Linked DNA regions of Macaca fascicularis. The main gene of each other region encodes a partner of the protein of the gene in region 2 in a complex. Links are inferred from orthologs where the notes say so. Each region holds a gene or a part of one and is shown on either strand. Other genes may lie near its edges.

Region 1 (9,552 bases), on a different chromosome or scaffold from region 2:
TACTTGGGAGGCTGAGGCAGGAGAACTGCTGGAACCTGGGAGGCAGAAGTTGCAGTGAGCCAACATTGCGCCATTGCACTCCAGCCTGGCGACAGAGTGAGACTCGGGGGGCGGGGGAGGAGGAAATAAAAACCCTCTGTTTTCCTTTGTCTCCCCGAGTCTGCCTGTGGTCCCACCATGGGGTGTCTTCACACATCATGTATTCCTGGATTTACAAATCCTTCTGCTCATTCTAGAATAAACTCGTTATCTTCGGAGACTCCCTCTCTGCTGTTATTTTAGGTTGACAATAGACTCCCTGAACGTAATCTCAGAGTGGAGCAACCAGAATGGGGACTGCAGACTCAAATCCAGGTGAGAAATAGGTGTCTCTTAACTCCAGGGACGTGGGACGTGAGCAGAGACCATCCATCTGGAGATTCCAAGGATCTAGTGACTACAAATAGGGCTCAGCTTCACCATCGACACTACAGGAAAAGTCACCCTGGATGTCTGCAGCTCCAGAGGAGGGGGCTTGGGCCAAAATCTTGGGTCCAGACAAAATTTCAGCCACTGAGAAGGCAAACCCAACTTCAGCCACTGAGAAGAAGGCAAACCCTGAAATTGCTTTGGAAGAGGTATGGTGATATCACTACCACCATCTAGTGGAAGCTGGAAGTGTCGACAGCCAAAGGCTCCCAGCCACCACCCCCACCCTGCCCTGCCCAGCCAATGGAGAGGTGTGCTCGGCCAGGTCATGCCAGATGTCATTGTCTGTGTGCACCATGACAGGGACCCCAGCGCCCTGTTCTGCTCTCTTTTTCCAGGGACCCTGGAAGCAGGTGGCGAGCTTCAAGCTGGGCATTTGACAATGGGGGCTTCTGAAGGCATCAGTGGCTAGCGGAGACAAACAGCCTAGGACTGCAAAGTGCAGGGGAAGGGAATTGTGTTTCATGCCCACAGCCCCTGGGGACCCCATAGGAGGCTGAGGGAGCAGCCACTGGTCCCGGCCACTCACAGCCCGGCCACTAGCAGCATCTCATGGACAATCCTTTTTGTCTTTCCTCAGATGGAAAAATTGGGCTCTGAGTAACAGGTGTCAGCTTCAGGGAGGTTTAGAAGTAGGTATCAAAATGACAGACACAGTCAAGCTCATAATATTTTCCCGCTGAAGTCAAGACAAATGTGTGTTTCCTTGTGATGCACATATAACATTTAAGAGAACTGGATTCATTCACAGAGTTAACAGAGTTTTTGGATTCAAATTTGAAATAGGTCACTGAGTAATTGATTTAAATGCAGGATTTCAGGTTGAACTCCTCTCTGAGGGTGCTGCAAATAAGCGTTAGCCCAGGGAGAGGGAGAAGCCTCTAGCTCGGTGGATGTCAAACAGGAGAAGTGAGGAGTGGAAGGTGGGGAGGGTGCTGTGAGCACCCACAGCACCAGGATCTCTGGAACATGCACCAAGGAGCACCACCAACCTCTATCCCCTTCCCTCCAGCAGCCAGGAGACAAAGGAGACTCTTGTCTGGAGTCATTGCTGTGCCAAAACATGACCTTAAACATAATAGCATCTTGGCTGAGCGCGGTGGCTCACACCAGTAATCCCAGCACTTTGGGAGGCTGAGGCGGGAGGATCACCTGAGGCCAGGAGTTTGAGACCAGCCTGGCCAACATGGTGAAACCCTGTCTCTACTAAAAACACAAAAATTAGCCGGGCATGGTGGTGCGCACCTGTGGTCCCAGCTACTTGGGAGTCTGAGGCAGGAGAATCATTTGAACCCGGATGGCAGAGGTTGCAGTGAGCTGAAATCACGCCACTGCACTCCAGCCTGGGCGACAGAGCGAGACTCCATCTCAAATTAATTAATTAATTAATTAATAGCACTTAGCTGCTGTGGAAAACCATATGGCAGTTCTTTGAAAACTTAAACATGGAATTACCATAGGATCCCTCAATTCCACTTCTGGGGATACACCCGACAGCATGAAAACAGGGACCTGACCAGATGTTTGTACAGCCACGCTCATAGCAACATCGTTCACCATAGCCAAAAGGGGGAGGCAACCCAGGTGTCCATTGACAGATGAATGGATAAGCAAAATGCGACGTGTACACACAGGGAATATTATTCAGCCTTAAAGAGGAAGGAAACTCTGACCCATGCTACAACAGGGCTGAACCTTTAAGGACATTCTGCTAAGTGAAATAAGCCCGTCACAAAAGGACACATGCTGTAGGATTCCATTCATGTGAGGTTCTTACGGTGGTCAAATGTATAAAGATAGGGAACAGAGTGGTGGTTGTCAGGGGCTGGGGGAGGGAGAATGAGGAGTTAATGTTTACTGGGTACAAAGTGTCAGTTTTGCAAGAGAAGAGTTCTGTCGGTGATGGTAGTTGCGCAACAATGTGAATGTAATTCCACTGTATACTTAAAACTGTATACTTAAAAATGGTTAAAAAGGCAAATTTTAGGTTATAAATATTTTACCACAATTAAAATATTTTAAAATCCTTTCAAAGCCCAACCTTTGCAGAATAATAATAATAATAATAATAATAGCACCTGAGTCCTTTTTGGTTTGCAAAACATTTTCACACACATAGTCATACATGCTTCAACAACGGCCCTGTGATAAAAACATTTATTAATTTGGCTTCCCAGAGGAGAAAACTAAGGTTCAAATGGGGTGAAATGGCCAGGTGCGGTGGCTCATGCCTGTAATCCCAGCATTTTGGGAAGCCCAGGCAGGTGGATCTCCTGAGGTCAGGAGTTCAAGACCAGCCTGGCCAACATGGCAAAACCCCGTCTCAACTAAAAATACGAAAATTAGCCAGGTGTGGTAGAGTGCACCTGTAGCCGCAGCTACTCAGGAGGCTGAGGCACGAGAATCACTTGAACCTGGGTGGCACAGGTCGCAGTGAGTCAAGATCGCACCACTGCTCTCCAGCCTGGGTGACAGGGACTCTGTCTCAAAAAAAAAAAAAAAAAAAAAAAAAAGGCCAGGTGCAGTGGCTCACGCCTGTAATCCCAACACTTTGGAGGTCAGGAGTTTGAGATCAGCCCGACCAACATGGTGAAACCCATCTCTACTAAAAATACAAAAATATTAGTCGGGCGTGGTGGTGTGCACCTGTAGTCCCAGCTACTCAGGAGGCTGAAGCAGAAGAATCGCTTGAACCTGGGAGGCGGAGGTTGCAGTGAACTGAGATTGCGCCACTGCATTCCAGCCTGGGTGACAGAGTGAGATTCCATCTCGGGGGAGGGAGAGAAAAAAAAAAGATTCTGACAAAATGCCGTGAAGATCATCTGTAGATCTTGTTAAAGTGGAGTCACATTCAGAGGGTTGGGGGCGGGGTCTGAAATAGTCTCTAAGCAGGTTCCACATGGAGCCAATGCTGTCGGTGCAAGGACCGCCATCCAGCAGCAAAGATCCAGTGTACTTTACTTAATAGACAAGGAAGCTAACCGGGAAGGGAGTGACTTGTCCAGGGTGACAGGCCAGGGTGGCACATAGGAAGCTAATGGCCAGGGAATGTGCATGCAGCTGTTTTGCCAAAAATTAGCCACCTCCTTAAGCTGACCCAGATAAGTGTCCACCTTTTTAAAATTATTATTTATTTTTTTGAGACAGAGTCTCACTCTGTCACCCAGGCTGGAGTGCAGTGGCACAGATCTCCGCTCACTGCAACCTCTGCCTCCCGGGTTCAAGCGATTCTCCTGCCTCGGCCTCCAGAGTAGTTGGGATTACAGGCACGCACCACCCCGCCCGGCTAATTTTTTTGTATTTTTAGTAGAGATGGGATTTCGCCATGGTCTTGAACTCCTGATCTCAGGTGATCCCTCTGCCTCGGCCTCCCAAGTGCTGGGATTACAGGCGTGAGCCACCGTACCCAGCCTTGAACCAAGGTTTCTAAGATGCTCTCAGCCTCCTTGGATCTGGCCTAGCACACCTTTCCATCTTATCTTTTCTGCACAACCGCCCACAGCTAGCCCAGCCTACGCCTCAGCCAGTCTGGCTCCCTGACGATGCAGAGCCGGCACCGGCTGCAGGAGCCAGGCCCAGTCCTGTCCAGGGCCCCCTGGCCGCAGACAAACGCTACAGACACGGCTGGTAGCACATGGTTCTCTTTATTGTGATGCTCCATGGAAAACATCCGTAAACCAGCTTACTGTAGTGGTGACAGCCGCAACACATGCTAAGGCACTTTTATTATATAAAAAAGGGGTGGGGTGAGAGTTTCACTCACTCCTTTGTGACAGCAACTGGGACCTGAATTCAGAGCTTTGTAGGCATTACACAGCTTTTATATCGCTTCGTGATTTGAGAGTTTGTTTCCTTTTAAAAAAAAAAAATGCCTTCTTGCCATAAGTCTCAATGCAGCATATACAAAAGTTAGAAATACAAGTAAATTCGGCAACCAGTGTAGACCAGTGAGGACGAGCTAACTCTCTTATAAACAAAGGCAGTGAGAAAGACTCAGAATTTTATCATTTATTACGAGAAAGGGGAAAAAAAGAAAACCTTGTTTTGCTTTCAAAAATATCTGTGCAGGTGGCAGATTTTTAAACTATACGAGTCAACGGTGCAGGTAAAGGACCCTCGGGCCCAGTCCTAGAGTAGACACGAGATCGCCTGGCAGGGCTGCTGGCCCCTCTAACGCTCTGGCTGTCATACTTGGGACAAGTCCCTTAACCATTAAATATATTTGGTCCCCAAAAGTGTTGGGAGAAGCCACTGGAAGGCTGCTGGCCTTCCCTGCTTGACCCCGGCAGCCTTGCTGTGGCAGAGGCAGGCTGTCCTCGGTAAAGGAGGGGAGGGGGCATTGCACTTGAGACATTTTAGAATCAGGAGGGAGACAGTGGACAGGGGCGCTGCCTGGGACAGGGTGGGGAGGAATCCACTCCTCCCCCCACCCCAGCATTCTGTGCCCTGCACAGAGGTGGAGCCCCAGAGCCTGCTCCTTCCGGACCGCCCAGAGCCACGGGAGTGGGAGGCCCAAGGGGCAGAGGTGTGTGAGGTCACCACGTGTGATTGCCAACAGCAAAGAAAGGAGGAGTGGGGGCGCTGGTGGCAGAGGTCAGGGAGGCTGACAACTGCGGGGGTTCCGACTACCAAAACACCTTCAGTCTGAAGAAAAATAGATTCATAGAAACTCTGGCCCCTCCCCGGGGGCCTGCCCTCCTCGCCTCAACATCTTGTGCTTTTTGGCAAGAGGGGGATGAGGAGCCTGCTGGTCGCTCTCTGCCTGGGCCCGGGCCCTGTCTCTTTGGTATCAGATTCTGAGCGGGGGAGGGAGCTGGAAGGGGATGCAGCAGAGGAAGCCAAATGCCCTCAACAACACCTGGAGGGAAACAGGATGGGGGCACGGGGCTGAGGGCAGGGGGAGGCGCGTTCACAGCAGTCCCAAGAAGGTGGGGAGAGGCCTGCTGCAGGGTCTGGAAAGGGGAGGCTGTGGTGTCCGTCTGTCCATCCATCTCAGGCTGCAGGAGAAGAGGCTTATTCGGCAGGTTTGGCCTCAGCCCCATCCGCTTTGCCATCCACCTCCTCGTCGGAACCATCGCCAGCGCCTTTCCGGGCCATTCGGCGGGGCATGACAAACGGCAGGTCCCCGCGCCTGGGGGCAGAGGCAGAGGCAGAGGGTCAGTGGGCACAGACAGGCCAGGGGTGGCCGCAGCACAGCACACACATCTCAAAGCGAATTCGAGAGGGAAACCAGGCGCCTGGCTGCTCCCACCAGGAAGAAGCAAGGCGGAGCCTTGGGAGCCACAGGTGAGCTGGACAGGACCGCTCTCAGGAAAGCAGGCAAAGCTTCCCGCAAAATGTTTCGGTGTCAGACATCTTCACACACAACCATAGCACAAAAACAGTTCAGGCAAACAGGACCAATTACAACAGGAAAGGCACAGAAGTAAGTGTAAAATGCCACCCTCTGTTGCAACTCCTATAAAACCGGTGAAACCAAGACAGGTAAACAGGTGTGCTTGTTCACACAGAGTACAAAGCCGGGCACCCTCTTTCTACCACATGGCAGAAAATTCATATCCAATACTGACTCCTTATGCTTAAAAAAAGAGCACCATGAAGGCCTGGCACAGTGGCTCACGCTTGTAATTTCAGCACTTTGAGAGGCCGAAGTGGGTGGGTCACCTGAGGTCAGGAGTTTGAGACCAGCCTGACCAACATGGTGAAACCCCATCTCTACTAAAAATACAAAAATCAGCTGGGCATAGTGGTGCATGCCTGTAATCCCAGCTACTCCAGAGGCTGAGGGAGGACAATCACTTGAACCCGGGAGGAGGTTGCAGTGAGCTGAGACTGCATCATTGCACTCCAGTCTGGGCAACAAGAGTGAAAATCCATCTCAAACAAACAAACAAACAAACAAACAAGATCCCCATGAAAAAGAGGTAAGAAATGAGAATCTCAGAGAATAAGATCCTCTGCTTCAAACATTCACTACTTGTTGAGTGTTAACACTCCCTGGGAAATGCAAAGGAGCCTTTTTAACCTCTGTAGACATTGTTTATGAGGCCCGTATTCATTTTGTAGATATTTATGAGGCACCTAATATGTGCCAGGACTGGGCCAGGTGGCCTCAAGCAACTTCTAATTCAAAAGACAACAGACTTTTAGGACAGGCTAGGAATAAACTACCTAGAGTTTACTGTGTGTTGAAAACACTAAGCTGAAGCCTCAAAGGCAAGAAGTCAGAAGGGGCAGAGATTGCTTTGTGCAGTCCTTTCTTGGTGTCATTTGTGGTTTGCTTGTGGGCTGTGATTGAGGAACAAGCTACCTTTTGAGAGAAGTGCCGAGGCAAAGGGGTGGGTTGGGCGGTGGGGGCTCACCTGAGCTTGTTCTTGAGGGAGCTGACCTCGCGGTTCATGGCATCGGCCGTCTCGGTGGCGTCCTCCAGCTCGCGCTGCAGTTTCCGGCGGGAGGCGTTGGCCCGCTGGGCCTCCTCTTCCGCCTCCTCCAGCTGCCGCTTGAGCTGCTTCAGGCGGGTGGATGCCTTGTCGGCCTGTGGAGATGGACGTGTGGCCCGTGGTCCTGGTTAGGGGCTCTGGGCGTGCAGCCAGCCAGCCTCACTGCCCTGCCTGTTGCCCCATCTGCTGCCCAGCCCGGCTGCCCTTCTCACTGCCCCACCAGCGCCCGCACCTGGTCCTTGTACTGCTCGGCGTTCCTCCGCTCATCATCCACCTGCAGCAGCACATCCTTCAGCTTCTTCTCCGTCCGACGCACCTGTTTGCAGGCTGCCTGGCGCTCCCTGCATGACAGACAAGGTGGCTCAGAGGGAACACCCTCCTTCAGAGGGTCCAGCCAACAAACCCTAACATGGACCCCCCGTTCCCCGGGGCTCGCTGGCATCTAGGGATCACCTAGGGAGGCCTTTGCTGGACACCTATGTGTGCCTGGCTTCTTATGATGGGCACTGCAAAAAGCCCCATTTACAGATGGGGAAACGGGCGCAGGTAAGGGAAGTGACACACCTCAAAGGGCATCTGTGTAACTGGAAAGGAGGTTTGGGGGCCTACTGTAACCCCCATTCCCTCCAAGGAAGTCTCAGTCCTGCTGAGCCCACAGAACAACTGCCCGGGTGGGCAGGACCCCCCTCTACCTCCTGCTCTGATTCACCCTCAGAGACAGCCACCAAAGCTCCTGGCTTTCGAGGTGGAACAGAGAATCCCGTTCAAACCCCACAAACTCCCCCAACCACCCAACTGTGGAAGGGATGTGGGCCCCATCAGGAGGGAGGGAAACAGCCCCCAGCACTCAGGAGACAGAGAGCTGGTTGTGGCCCAGATTTGGGCAGGACTGCAAGGGGGCTGGAGTTTTTGCCAGGACGGCTGGAGTTGGGCGGGGTCAGGGGCACGTACTTGGTCTCGTTGTCCAGCTGCTCCTCCAGCTGTGCGATCTTGGCCTCGAGGGCAGTGATGGAGGCCTTGTACTTGGACTTGACAGTGCCCTCCATCTCCTGCAGCTTGACCTTGAGCTCCTTGTTCTGGCGCTCCAGCTGCTGCCGAGCATTCTCGTTCTTCTGGGCGTGGCTGCGCTCCAGGTTCAGGTCGGTGTTGATCTGGTCGATCTACAGAAGGAGGGCCAGTGACCTCGGGAAGGGCTGGGGCCCTGGCTGGAGGGCACGAGCAGGGCCGGAGGAAGGTGGCAGCAGGATCTCACCAAACCCTTGGGGTCCAGAGTCGTGGGTCTCCCAGAAAAGGGAGGATTAGAAACTTCTGAACACCCAACACAGAAGCCAGAGGGGACTCTTTCATGTCCAGGTGCCTGGACATGTTCCCGTAAGCACCTGGGGAGCAGCTGGCACTTGGCCTGTGCTTCTGCCGGCTGGGTCTGAGGCCAGCTCTGCCGTGGTGGCTCCAGAGCCCAGGGTAGGAGAAGGCCTGGCACCCACCTGCAGGTTGGCCTTCTTCAGCCGGTCGTTGATCAGCTCCGTGTTGCCCTGCTCCTCCTCCAGCTCCTCCTCCAGCTGGGCGATGCGGGCCTCCAGACGCCGCTTCTCCTCCAACGCCAGGGCTCTGTGGGGTGGGTGGGAAAAGTGAGGGGCCTACCCCGGGGGCACAGCTGGTCCCCCTCAACTCTGTCCCCTCACTCAGCTCACCCTTTGCCACTGCTGTTGGCGATCTCATCAGCCAGCTCATCCCGCTCCTGCTGGGCCTGGCGCTTGGCACGCTCCGCGGCTGCCAGTTCCTGCCACAAAGACCCAGAGTGTGACCTGAAGGCAGCCACAGCCCTGCAAGACCATCCTTCCCAGCCCCGGGCACCCTCCTCTCAAGCCCTTCCCCAGGCCCACCTCCCCCAGGAAGCCCTTCCTCCAGAAACCCTCTAGCTCACAGGCTGGTGCCCCCCTGCAGTCATAGCTTAAGCACCACATGTTTCTAAAACTCTTACATTTAAGTGCTAGGAATCAAGCCAGGTGCCAGGGTGTGGCGATAAGAAGTGTCCTGGCCTAACCAGGGAGACCATGTGGACAGAGGTACTCGGTGCGGCCCCTCCCTATTTGGGTGAGCCAGAGCCCGGAGTCAGCTCCGGAGGCCACAGGCAGATGGCTACACCCTGGTCGCACTCGCAGCCAGCACATCATACTGCAGGGCACCCTCCAGAGCCAGGAAACACTTCAGGACAGGCTCAGGTGAGACGGGTAGGGTGGCCTCCCAGACCCCTTCTCACCAGGCACCATTCATAGCAGGAGGTGGTGGCAGCCACAAAGCCTCATCTCATGTGAGGCATGCCAGTTTCACACACACACACTCTCATCATACCAGGGAGCCCCGCCATGTAACGGAACCCTGGAGGGAATCGTTTGTAACATGAGAGCCATCCCCAGCCAAATCCTGGAGCCCAGTCGGGACCCTAGCCCTGTCCTCAACTGAAGGCCCTACGCTGCCACCTGCTGGCTTCAGGGCAGCGGTGCCGCTCTCCACTGCAGCCCCACCCACCTCCTGCAACTGGATCATCTCGGCCTCCATGCTCTTCAGCTTCTTCTCGTTCTCTTTGGCCTGGGCCAGGATCTCCTCACGGGAGGCGCGGGTGTCATCCAGCTCGCGCATGCAG
Region 2 (10,504 bases):
TCCAAAACCTGGATCCAGAGGCTACGCTTGAATAAAGGCCTGGATTCCAATGGCACAGCCACCCCCAGCCAAGGGAAGAGACGGATGGAGCTCAAGTGACTCAGACTAAAAACCACTTCCCCCTCAGGGAGGAAGGAGGCAACACCCACAGAACTTGAGGACTGCAGGTTAATCCTGTCCTCACCTCCAGCCCAAAGCCCTCCCTGCCATTCTTAAACCAGACCCATCATTCCTCTCCCACCACCCAAAACCTCAGCCTCTCCCACCTCAAGGAGACTCAACTGGGGCCGCAGTTGAAGGCAAGGGCCTCTGTGCACCTGCAGGAGCATCCTGGCTAGTCCAGACCCCCACCTCCACCCCAGAGCCATTTCTCAAGAAGTTCCAAAGGCTCTGCCGTTTCCTCCCCGAGTGCATGCCCGCTTGTGGGGCCAGGCCTCCTTGGTGGAGGTCACCACCGCTCGTCACCCTCACCATCCAGTGTGATCCACCAGATAGCAGACAAACAGGGACATAAGAAGGAAGGACTTACCACTGTGGGAGTGAGCCCAGAGAATCCAGGCAGCAGACACAGCCTCCCTCTCACTGCCTTCTGCCTTTATTCGCCTGCTCTCTGTCCCCAGGAAACCAGGAGAGAGAAAGGGCCCATGGGAAGAGGCTGGGAACTTGGGGATGCTCACGTCAGAGCCTCCCAGGATGGAGCTGGGGAGAAACCGCTTCTGTCAATCTCACCTTCCTTGTTTACAAACAAGGGCTGGGGACACACTGAGTTCCCATAGCACACACGTCCCCAATCCCAGAAACTTTATTCTTCTGACCAAAAATCAGAACTCACAATCTGAAATCTGATGGAACAATAAGCCAAAGAAGGGAAACCAGGTTGTCCTGGAAAGAAAACTTCGGAGGTATGGGCCAAACAGAGGGCACCATCTCCCCATGTCCTAGGAAGCTCTCCGCATCAGGACCCTCCCACCCATCTTGCCACCCACTCCAGAAGCAGAGAGGACAGCCCTTGAGATGGGGATCAGTGGAGGAAGATATTTTCTGCGAAGGATATGGTCAAGGTCGTGAGCTAATATGGACCCAGAGGTTTTTAAAGGGCTTTTAAATGAATGATTTCTTCTAGGCCTCACTGCTCTTCGCAGGAAAGGCTTGTCGGAGGCTCTTGGCATGGAGGACTGAGAATCAGGAATAGGAAAGGCACCCAGCGAAGGGCTAAGGCCCAGCACTGGGGTAGAGGTTGTGGATTGGGGAGGGGGGTTCGGGCTCAGGTTGCAGTCAAGGAGGGAGTAGGGGCCAGGGAAGTTCCCTGTATCCCAGGAGACACTCAGACATTGTTCTACCACAGTAGAACAACGTACTTCTACCACCAGTCCAAGAACAGACCTGGGCTCAGGGTGTAGCGCCTGTCACTGCTACAGTCCCACCCCAGCCTGGGAGGCCTTCCCACTGCTCCCCACTCCACCCCACCACCAACTGGCAAGGTTGCAGAGGCAGCAGGGATTGGTTGCTATGCAGCAGGCATCTCTGAAGGACAGCGTGATGCAGGTGGAGGCCGCAGAGAGGGTGCTCCCAGGGAGGGTGGATGGAGAGGACAGGGGAAGGCAGCAGACTTTCTCCTGAACTGAAATTCCTCCCAAGTCTCTGCAGTCAAACCCTGAGGGAACATCTGAGTCACCTGCCCCACTCCTCTGAAACCTGAGAGAAAAGCCCCACGTGACGAGAGGAAAGAGGACCCGTAAGAGGAGGTCAGTGGGACCAAGCCCTCCAGCCTCTGCGCCTGATCTCCACGCACTTCTTCCTTAAAGATCCCCGTGTCAGCCAGGCAGGGCCTTGAAGTCTAACCTCTGCCCACCACTGCACCCTTGAACCACTGGCCTTGAACCTACTTAAGGGGAAGCAATATCATGCCTCATATTTTCTGGGGTGGGGGGGAAATAATCTCAATTTCATTTATCAGATCAAAATTCCACATATGTGGAATTTTGTCTCCAAACTATGGTCACCTTCTCACCCTTTGCCTCACTCCCACCCCAGCCACTGACCCCCACTCATCTCTTCTGAGGTCCCCTGTCCTTCCCTGAAGGAGCTTGATTCCTGACTGATAACAGATCTCATCCAGGGACCTTTGTGGCAGAGACGGTGGATTCGAGAATGCCTATATTCTCATGCTGCTGCAAACAGCCGGGTCTCCCTCCACATTGCCTTCCCTGATCCTACCACAGACAGGAAAGGACTAATCCATCCCTGTGGTTTGAAGCCAGGGATCTGGAAGGGGGTGGCAGGATAGAGCCTGGACTGTAAATGTCAGCACTAAGTGCCAGCCCTCCTCCCCATCCCACTGTCACCTAAGTACTTCCTCCCTGCAGCTCAGTCTTATTCTTTTCCCTCTGACTTCCTCCCAGGACACCCAAACTCCATTCCAGACCCCAGCCAGGAACAGATGTGACCTTCAATTCCAGCCTCGGTTCAAGATCCTGTCAGAGGCAAGGTTGGAGAGAGGTGGGAGGGGTAAGTGGGCTGGCTGAGATCCCACAGCTGGAGCTTTCCAAACCTTGACAAGGGGGTGGTTATGGGGTCCCCTTCTCAGCTTTGACCTCACTGAGTGAACTTTATTGCCTGTGCATACACTCATAGTCATCCTGCATCCCTCCCCTGACTTCACTGGTTTGCTCTCCATAAAACTTCAGCTCTCCCCACCACCACCCCACAACATCTCTCTCAGCCCCCAACCCATGCCCCCAGAGTCTCTCAAACCATCAGCCTCAAAACTTCCAAGAATCTTTATTGAACTTGCTCAGCATCAAGCACGTGTCTGAAGGATCCAGGGTGGGGCACTGTGCCCACTGGCGACAGGGAAGGCCCCAGCTGGCAGAACCCCCAACCACATCAGAGAAGCTTTCATTTCTTCCTGGGCTGCTTATCTGGGAAGCCTTCAAAGAATTCATTACACATCATGGCGATGCAGGACAGGAAGACACAGTACTCTTGGAAGTCCACCTCGTTGTCCCTGTTGCTGTCCAAGTTGCTCATCAGCTTCTGGAATGCAGCTTCATCTGTCCTTTTCTGGAGGGAGAAGAGGCTACAGATAGAAAACAGAAGCCCAGTAGGGAGAGCCAGGACCAGACCCAGTTTCTACTGCCAGACCAGAGTTCAGGGAGGCTCCTTTGGGAGGTCCAGTTTGGAACTCCAACCCTCAAGGCTAAGCTAGGATGGAGAAGGTACTCCTTGGATAAGGAAGTCTGAGTACCTGGTGCAATGGAAAAATGACGGAACCACTACATTTTCACCCAAGGTTGCTCTAATAATCCCATGAGGTAGTAATAGTCATGAAAGCAATATGTAAACTGTATTATGTTTGATACAAATATACATTGTTAGTGTTTGAGGGGAATGTCTGCAGGCCTGTGATCATCTCCACATCTGTGTCTTCACATCTACAAGCCAAACAGAAACTCAAACAGTGTCCACTGTTGGCGTGATGGCAAGAGTCAGACAGTCCTGGTCCAGATGGCAGTTGTGTACGCTGACCACCTTGGGAAGTTACTTAGCACTCTGAGCTTAGTCTTCCCTTCAGTTAAGTTGTGCAAAGCATCTGGCAGTGTCTGACACATTCATTCTCAGCCCTCTTTCAGCATATGGGGCCAGTCAGTGAGCGGTGGTGTTCAATGTGTTTCCACCCCAGGCAGTCACCCCACTGATAGATGCCCTCTGTAGCTAATGCTCTAGATCAAGACTGCTGCCCTCCTCTGTGGGAAATGCCCCACGTGGGGACACACTCAAGCACTACCCACTCACCCCCAAGAAGCTGGGCAGCTCCCGGGTCAGCAACTCCTTTAGCTCTGATTTGTTGAGCTTGAACTTGTCACCCTCTTTGCCCGAGTACTTGTGGAAGGTGGACACCATCACATCCAGGGCCTTCTCCAGAGGGCACGCCATGACAGCAGTCAGGATCTGGGAGCAGGAGGCACAGAGACCCTCTTATTTACCCCACCCCTCAGAGATGTGTTCAGAATGCCAGGCTCCCCTCCCATCCCTCCAGGATCACTTGGCGAGACTCTGCTCCCTCCCTGGGGGAGCCCAGAGCAGTGGGCCCAGCACCTGGCGGGGAGGGTGTGCACAGTGGGGAACACATGCTCTGGGCAGTGAACATTTGCAGAACCCACTGCGCAGGCTCTGGAGATTCAGGCAGCAAGCTCCCAGGGCCTCCCAGGCCTCGCCTCAACAACAGCATTTTTTCCATCCCTCGCTCAGTCTATCCACTCCCACGGCTCAGCCACAAAGGCCCCGCCCTGGCCATTCTTCTCCCTCCCAGCACTGGGTGCGGCTGCTGGAGGCCTGCCCAGGGGCCTGCAGCGGAAAAAACCAGCTGCTTAGTGCTCAGCGTAGGGAGGGGCAAAGTGAGATGGCAGAGGCAAGGGTTGGAAGAGAAGGTGCAGAGGCCACGCTCCTTCTTGAGCTGGGCTGCTGCGTGCAGGGCAGAGGCTCATGGGGCACACCACCAGACGAACGCCCACAGTTGCCTTCTGCCTTTCCTTTGCTTCCTGCTCCCGAGTGCGCAACCCAGCAAACATGAGCCAGTGCAGATACCCATGGGCACATACATACCAACACATACTATAGCAACAGCATGTGCAAGCCCACATCTCGGAAGCACCTGGAGAGCTCAAATCTAGCCACTTGCTCGCTTTTCTGTTGGTTTTTTCCTCCCTCTTACGTGCACGTGTGTGTGCACATGCACACCCACACACATGCACACCCACACACATGCACACCCACACACATGCACACCCACGCACACACTCTACCCAGAGTTCCACATCAGAGTCTCACATCTGGATCTCTTTAGCACATCTAGCCCCCACCAGCTTCCCCTTCTCCTGCCCCAGCCCTGGCCTCTGACACTCCTTGCATGCCAATCAGGCCAACACAACTCACCAAACCAAGAGAGAAGCGCTGAGGAGAGAGGGTTGTAGAGAGGGGAAGAATGGGGACGGCCCAGCGGTCTGACCTATTTATACCCCAGCCAGGCCCTGCCCATAGCAGGGGACAGGGGAGAGTGGATACTGCCTTCCTGCTGTGGGCTGATGTGTTAAGTGCCACAGCACCCTCCACCAGCCCAGCCTTGCAACCAAGCCTCTTGTTTGGGTAACGGGTAAGCCCCAGCAGTTACCAGCAGGGACCTGGATGCAATAGGCACCACCCAGTGTACATAGCTCAGCCTGAGTTTTAGAGAGGTGGAGGAAGGGGTAGTCTGTGTCTGGAGCATGGGGGACAGGGAGGGAGTAGTTCCATCAGGGAGCTAGGAAAGAAGATGCAGGGGGTGGTGGGTGACAGATGGGAGATTGCCCTGGAAATGTGGTGACACAAAAGCTAGGGAGGGGGATGGGAGGATCGCCTGAGGCCAGGAGTTCAAGACCAGCCTAGGCAACATAGTGAGACCTCTGTCTCTATAAAAAGGAAAAACAAAATTTGTTTTTAATTAGACGGGCAGCGTGGCTGTAGCCTGTAGTCCCAGCTAGTCAGGAAGCTGAAACAGGAGGATCGTTTGAGCCCAGGAGTTCGAGACTGCAGTTGGCTATGCTCAAGCCACTGCTCTCCAGCCTGGGCAACACAGCAGACCTTGTCTCTTAAAAAAATAAAGACTCAAAAACAAAAATGGGGCAGGGATCTCCATGCCCAGTACTGTCTGCCATGCCAAGTAAGGCTCAGGGCCAGGGCTGGGGGATCTGGAGGGGAACAGGTTCACACCCAAATGAGGCTCTGGGACCCCTTCAGGAACGTCAGTGGGAAAGGTCCTGGGTGAGGTGGTGATGGAGTATGGAGTGGCAGTGACACGTGGGGGCTCACGGATAGATCTCAGGTTCGGAGAGGGTATCAGGAGGGGCCATTTCAAGTTGGGATGAGTGTCAGGAATGAAGAATCCAGGTTGGGGTGGAGAGTTAGAGGTGAAATGGCACGAAATAGGGGAGTTAGAATTCGAGCCAACCTCTCAGGGTGGGCTACAAACTCAGTGAGAGTTAGAAGTAGGGGGTTAAGGCCCTCAGGGGACTGCGGCTTCAGGGATAGGGGCTGCCTCAAGTTATCCCCTTCCCCCTCCACACAGGGCACAACTTCCTGGCTGGGAGTAAACACCTCAGACACCCTAATCCCATTAGTGCTGCTTTCTGGGCTCCCACAGCCCGGGGCAGGGAACAAACACCCCCACTGTGCCCACGGCCCCACCCTCCTCAGGTCATCCAACCGTGAGCACTGAGTCCCAGGGGAAACTCAGGTGGTCCTCTCTCAAAGACCCCAGAGAGAGAGAGAGAGAGGAAGGGAGGACAGGGGTCCCTGTGTTGGCCCCACGCCCTCCTGCTGGACCCTGGAGGCCACTGCATTTCTGCAGGGTCTGCAACTTCCCTGGGGGAGCCCCCTGCCCCTGCCCCTGCCCCTGCCCTCAGCTGCCTTCCTGCAGTAGAAAAGGCCAGAAAGTAGCAAAGAGCTCAGCAGACACGTCCTCAGAGAAGAATCAAACAAAACCAAGCTGATGCCAGTTTTTTATTAGGAGTTAAATAGGCCCTTTCCCATCGTGGTCTCATTGGTGCACGCTCTGCTGAGCCTCGAGGGCCTCACAGCAGATCCCGCCTCCTCCCATCCACAAGGGAGGCCGCAGGGGTGCAGCAGGCAGGCTGGGGCCCAGAGTGGCTCTACCCCTCACTTGCTGGGCATCCTGGGAAAGGAGCCCTCACATCTCTGGGCCTCCTAGGTAAAATGGGTTAACTGATCACGGAAGACCTGGGCAAGTCCAGATTGAAAGGGGTACAGGAGAGAGGGTAGGAGGGAGTGTGGGAGACATGCCCAGCCCCCAACAGCTGGCGCACCCCCTGGAGCAGAGGCTACTGGGAGCAGGGGGGATCTGAGGGACAGTCCTTGAAGTACTCGTGGCAGTAGAGACAGAGGCAGGCAAGTGAGCGCACATACTCCACAAAGTCCACCTCGCAGTCCTTGTTGGTGTCCAGAACACTCATGAATTTGTTGTAGTCACACTCCCGAAACTCAGTCTGTGCAAGGGAAGGGTGGGGAGGAGTGGGGGAGTAGGATGAGGAGGGCAGAACAGCCTCACACGCCACCTCCCTCCCTCCTCTCCCAAGTGGACCCACCCTACCCCAAACTACACCCTTCCGAGGGCCAATTTCAACCTCCCTGCTCTGATAATGCACCCGTTGCAATCCCCTCCCAAAACTGCCCTCTCAGATTATTAATCGAGCACCTACTATTTGCTACTGAGTGCCTACTATGTGTTAGGCATTCTTCATGGTGCTCTCGCTCAGTCCTCTCAACAACCCTGCAAGGCAGCAGGTGTGATGATTGTCATCCCATTTTATAGATGAGGAAGCTGAGGTTTCTGCTATGTCAGTTCTCCCCTCCCACTTCCTCCTCACAAACCAGCCCCCTCCCCTTGCTGTCCTGTGCTCATGCTTGTCCCCAGGTCTCTCTTGGCAGAGTCTAGGCAGTGCCTCCCACTGGGCGAGGAGGGGACAGACACTCCAACTGCTCACCGGGGTCCAGGTGGCCAACTCCTTTTGCAGCAGCTCCTTGAGCTCCGCCTGGCAGAGCTTGTATTTGTCCCCACAGCGCCCTGCATATTCCTGGAAGGTGCACACGATGGCAGCTACCGCCTGCTCCAGAGGCCTGGCCATCCTTACTGTCACAGAACAAGGGTGTGACTCACAGCAGAGTTCCAGGCCACCCCCCCGGCTCACCTCTGCCCTCTGTGTTTCTCAGAGACTGTTCCCAGACCCATCCTAACCTCCATCAGGCTTCAGGCCTCGCAGTCTCCCCCTCCTCTGAGCAGCCCTCCCGGACCACACCAGCCCCTCCTAATTTATCCCCCTGCTGTCCTGTTATTACTTCCCCGTGTGGAGGTCTCATTGCCCCAACATCACCGCAAACTCCTCAAAGAGACAGCATCCCACCCCACCACCCACACTCCCCACTGCGGGGCTCCTTAAGCACTCCCAGATTCTCTGCCACCTCTTCTTATCCCCAACACCCAGGGCTGGCTCGGTCCCAGTCTGCCCCAGCCCATGAGATGCCCTAGAAGCCTCCCTCCCGCGGGAACTTGCACAAGGAGAGCCTGGCCCTGTGTTTCTCTGCCCTCAGGCCCTTGGAGAAGCCAGGCCTTAGCAGGGAGGGGCAGGTCTGAGAGGCACCCCCACCACCTCACCACCACTCCCCTCATCCTGCCTCCTGCCCTGAACTCAAGGAAGCTGCATCCAAAAGAAAAACTCGTGGGATCCTCTCTCCCTCTCGCCAGCGGTGCAACCCTGGTGAGTCATTTGTCTCTCTGGGTCTCAGGGGCGGGGCCTAATCTATAAGGTGGGGTCATCCCACCTCACAGGCCTAGTCAGGAGCCTGAACCAGATGATCTCTTGAGAGTTGACCAGTTCGGGTGTTTACCAATCTGAGACTCGCCTGGCCTGAGGTTACCCTCCTGACCCCTGGGGGTTTTGAACAGGAAGGCTCTATATAGGGGTACCCTGTTCTATTGGAGGGGAAGCCCTTCCTGGAATTGCTCACCTCCCCTCACTTCAACTCTCCCCTTCCACCGCCCTTCTGGGATGATGCCTCCAGCCTGGGAAAACCCGAAGGCGGCCAGGAAGGCAAGAGTTTTTTCCATGCTAGCCCAGTGACTCACTCCCGGTTCCCCCACGGGACGAGAGTCCTGCAGCACAGGACAGCCAGGGCCAACACTCTCCCTGAAGATTTACCCATTGCTGGGCCCCTGCTGGGAGCAAATGGCTGGCATGGTCGAGGCTGGCAGGAAAATAGGGGAAGGAGAGTGGGGGGTGTCAAGCACTGCCAGAATTCGATTCATTGTAAACACCCCAGGATTGGAGCAAGGTGTCCAGGTTCCCAGGAGAGGAAAGGGCCATGATCCTGAGAAATGAGCAGCCTCAGAGGTAAAGCAAGGAGGCAAGGAGCAAGTGAGGGGCCTGACCAAGGGGAACACCAGAACCTTGAGCCCAGTGCTCCCACCCCAAGGCAGACCTTAGCTCTACACACCCCCCAGTCCAAACTTCCCCGACAGCCCCTCACTGTGCAAGGAAACCTCTGCGTCCACTATATCTGACTTCCCTCCCCCTGTCAGGCCCACCTGTGGTCATCTCTCTGCTTCCAATGCCAGACCCTGGGTCAGGAGTCAGGTTGGCTATTGGGGGTCCCCCAAACTGCCCTGACACTCAACCCAGGGCAGGACCCAAGCAGCTGGCACTCACCGCTGGTGCTGGTGTTTCAGCTGTAGGAGCTTAGAGACAGGGCCTCACTATTTGTAGCCTCCCAAGAAAGGAAGGAAGCAATTATGGGAGACTCAAGTAGGTCAACACTGAGGATGCCCTCAGGGATCCCTCAGCAGCCCCATTACAGGCCCCAGCTGCCCACCTATCCACGCACACATCAAAGGCCAGTCTGGGCTCAGACACCACTCCCCTTTCATTCCCCCTCTGCCCTCCCCCAGAGTTGGGAACTGGGGACAGCTTCCTGCCGAGTCCTTCCAGTTCAGTTGGAGAAGACAGGCTGGCCTATCCAGCACATCACAGCCCCATCTCTTCACTCTGCAGAGGCCCGAGAATACCAAGTGGGGACACACTTCTGCCTCGCTCAGGTTGCACCCCTACAAATCTCTATTCCAGGGAGACCTTGGAGAGCATGTGGCTAAGCCTCCCCTTTACAGATGAGAAGTCTGAACTTGCCTGACCAGAGCACAGCTTTTGGCTGTGAACTGCTCGCTTCCCTGGGGGAAATCATCGGGTGGGATGTCTTTGAAGCACAGGGGCACTTCCAGCAATCTAAGCTTGAGTTTTCTGGCCTTTCCCAGGTGATGGGAATGAATTTGGGCTAGAGTCACATGAAGGCTGGCCCGAGGCTGGAGCTCCTTAAGGGCTGTTTTCCTTCTTCCCCTGCTCTGCTCAGCACCAAAATAACCTTCCTTGAGGTCTTGTGCGAGGCAGGATGGGATTTCCTCTGGCTTTTAGCTTGAGTGTGTAGCCTTTTGGGGTCTCAGTATCATGGAAGGGTCACCCATTTGTGTCCCCTCCTGGGGTGAGCCCTGGGCTTCCACTTCTGTCTTCCTCACTCCCCAAACCATCAAGATCAAAGCTCAGGTTCGGCTTGGCTTGGCCAATGACCTCAGGGCACTGGGGACCTCAGTACAGATTCTGCTTTGACTTAGATTTTGGCCTGCTCATTTCTTACTGCCTTGTGGGCTTTGAAAAGATTTAATTCTATGCAGCGTTTTTTGTTGCTTTTAGCTGGAGTGGGCCCAGACCACCATATTACCGGAAACAGACACCTTTCACGTAACTTCTCTATTCTTTCCTTCACACCGGAGCTTGAGAAACTCCTCCCTGTTTCATAGGAAGAGAACCCAAAACCTAGAAGAGCGTGAGAGAGAAAAGAGGAAGGAGACTGACTCCCAGGCTGGCAAAGAAGCCTTCCTGCCTGTGCAGGCAGCCAGAGCACCAGT

What was found.
Region 1: the proteins of S100A4 (region 2) and MYH9 are in contact, whole or in part, in an NMR structure (PDB 2LNK), measured with the Homo sapiens proteins. The link is inferred for Macaca fascicularis from reciprocal best matches to the Homo sapiens genes S100A4 and MYH9. Residues at the interface, in NP_002952.1 of Homo sapiens: Leu38, Ser44, Phe45, Leu46, Gly47, Lys48, Arg49, Thr50, Asp51, Ala54, Phe55, Lys57, Leu58, Asn61, Leu62, Ser64, Gln73, Glu74, Cys76, Val77, Phe78, Ser80, Cys81, Ile82, Met84, Met85, Cys86, Glu88, Phe89, Phe90; in NP_002464.1 of Homo sapiens: Thr1906, Ala1909, Met1910, Glu1913, Val1914, Ser1915, Leu1917, Lys1918, Lys1920, Leu1921, Arg1922, Asp1925, Leu1926, Pro1927, Phe1928, Val1929, Val1930, Pro1931, Arg1932, Met1934, Ala1935.

Annotation. Positions count from the first base shown.
Region 1 is NC_088384.1:15,396,229-15,405,780, reverse strand, and holds the end of MYH9 (myosin-9), read right to left. Parts: coding exon 9,438-9,552; intron 8,689-9,437; coding exon 8,600-8,688; intron 8,517-8,599; coding exon 8,393-8,516; intron 8,069-8,392; coding exon 7,860-8,068; intron 7,250-7,859; coding exon 7,141-7,249; intron 7,004-7,140; coding exon 6,831-7,003; intron 5,600-6,830; coding exon 5,482-5,599; 3' UTR 4,094-5,481; downstream 1-4,093. UniProt on the Homo sapiens protein: Cellular myosin that appears to play a role in cytokinesis, cell shape, and specialized functions such as secretion and capping. Required for cortical actin clearance prior to oocyte exocytosis. Promotes cell motility in conjunction with S100A4.
Region 2 is NC_088375.1:107,612,043-107,622,546, reverse strand, and holds S100A4 (protein S100-A4), read right to left. Parts: upstream 4,987-10,504; 5' UTR 4,936-4,986; intron 3,952-4,935; 5' UTR 3,937-3,951; coding exon 3,796-3,936; intron 3,064-3,795; coding exon 2,899-3,063; 3' UTR 2,765-2,898; downstream 1-2,764. Other genes in the region: S100A3 (protein S100-A3), read right to left, coding at 6,876-7,040, 7,539-7,679. UniProt on the Homo sapiens protein: Calcium-binding protein that plays a role in various cellular processes including motility, angiogenesis, cell differentiation, apoptosis, and autophagy.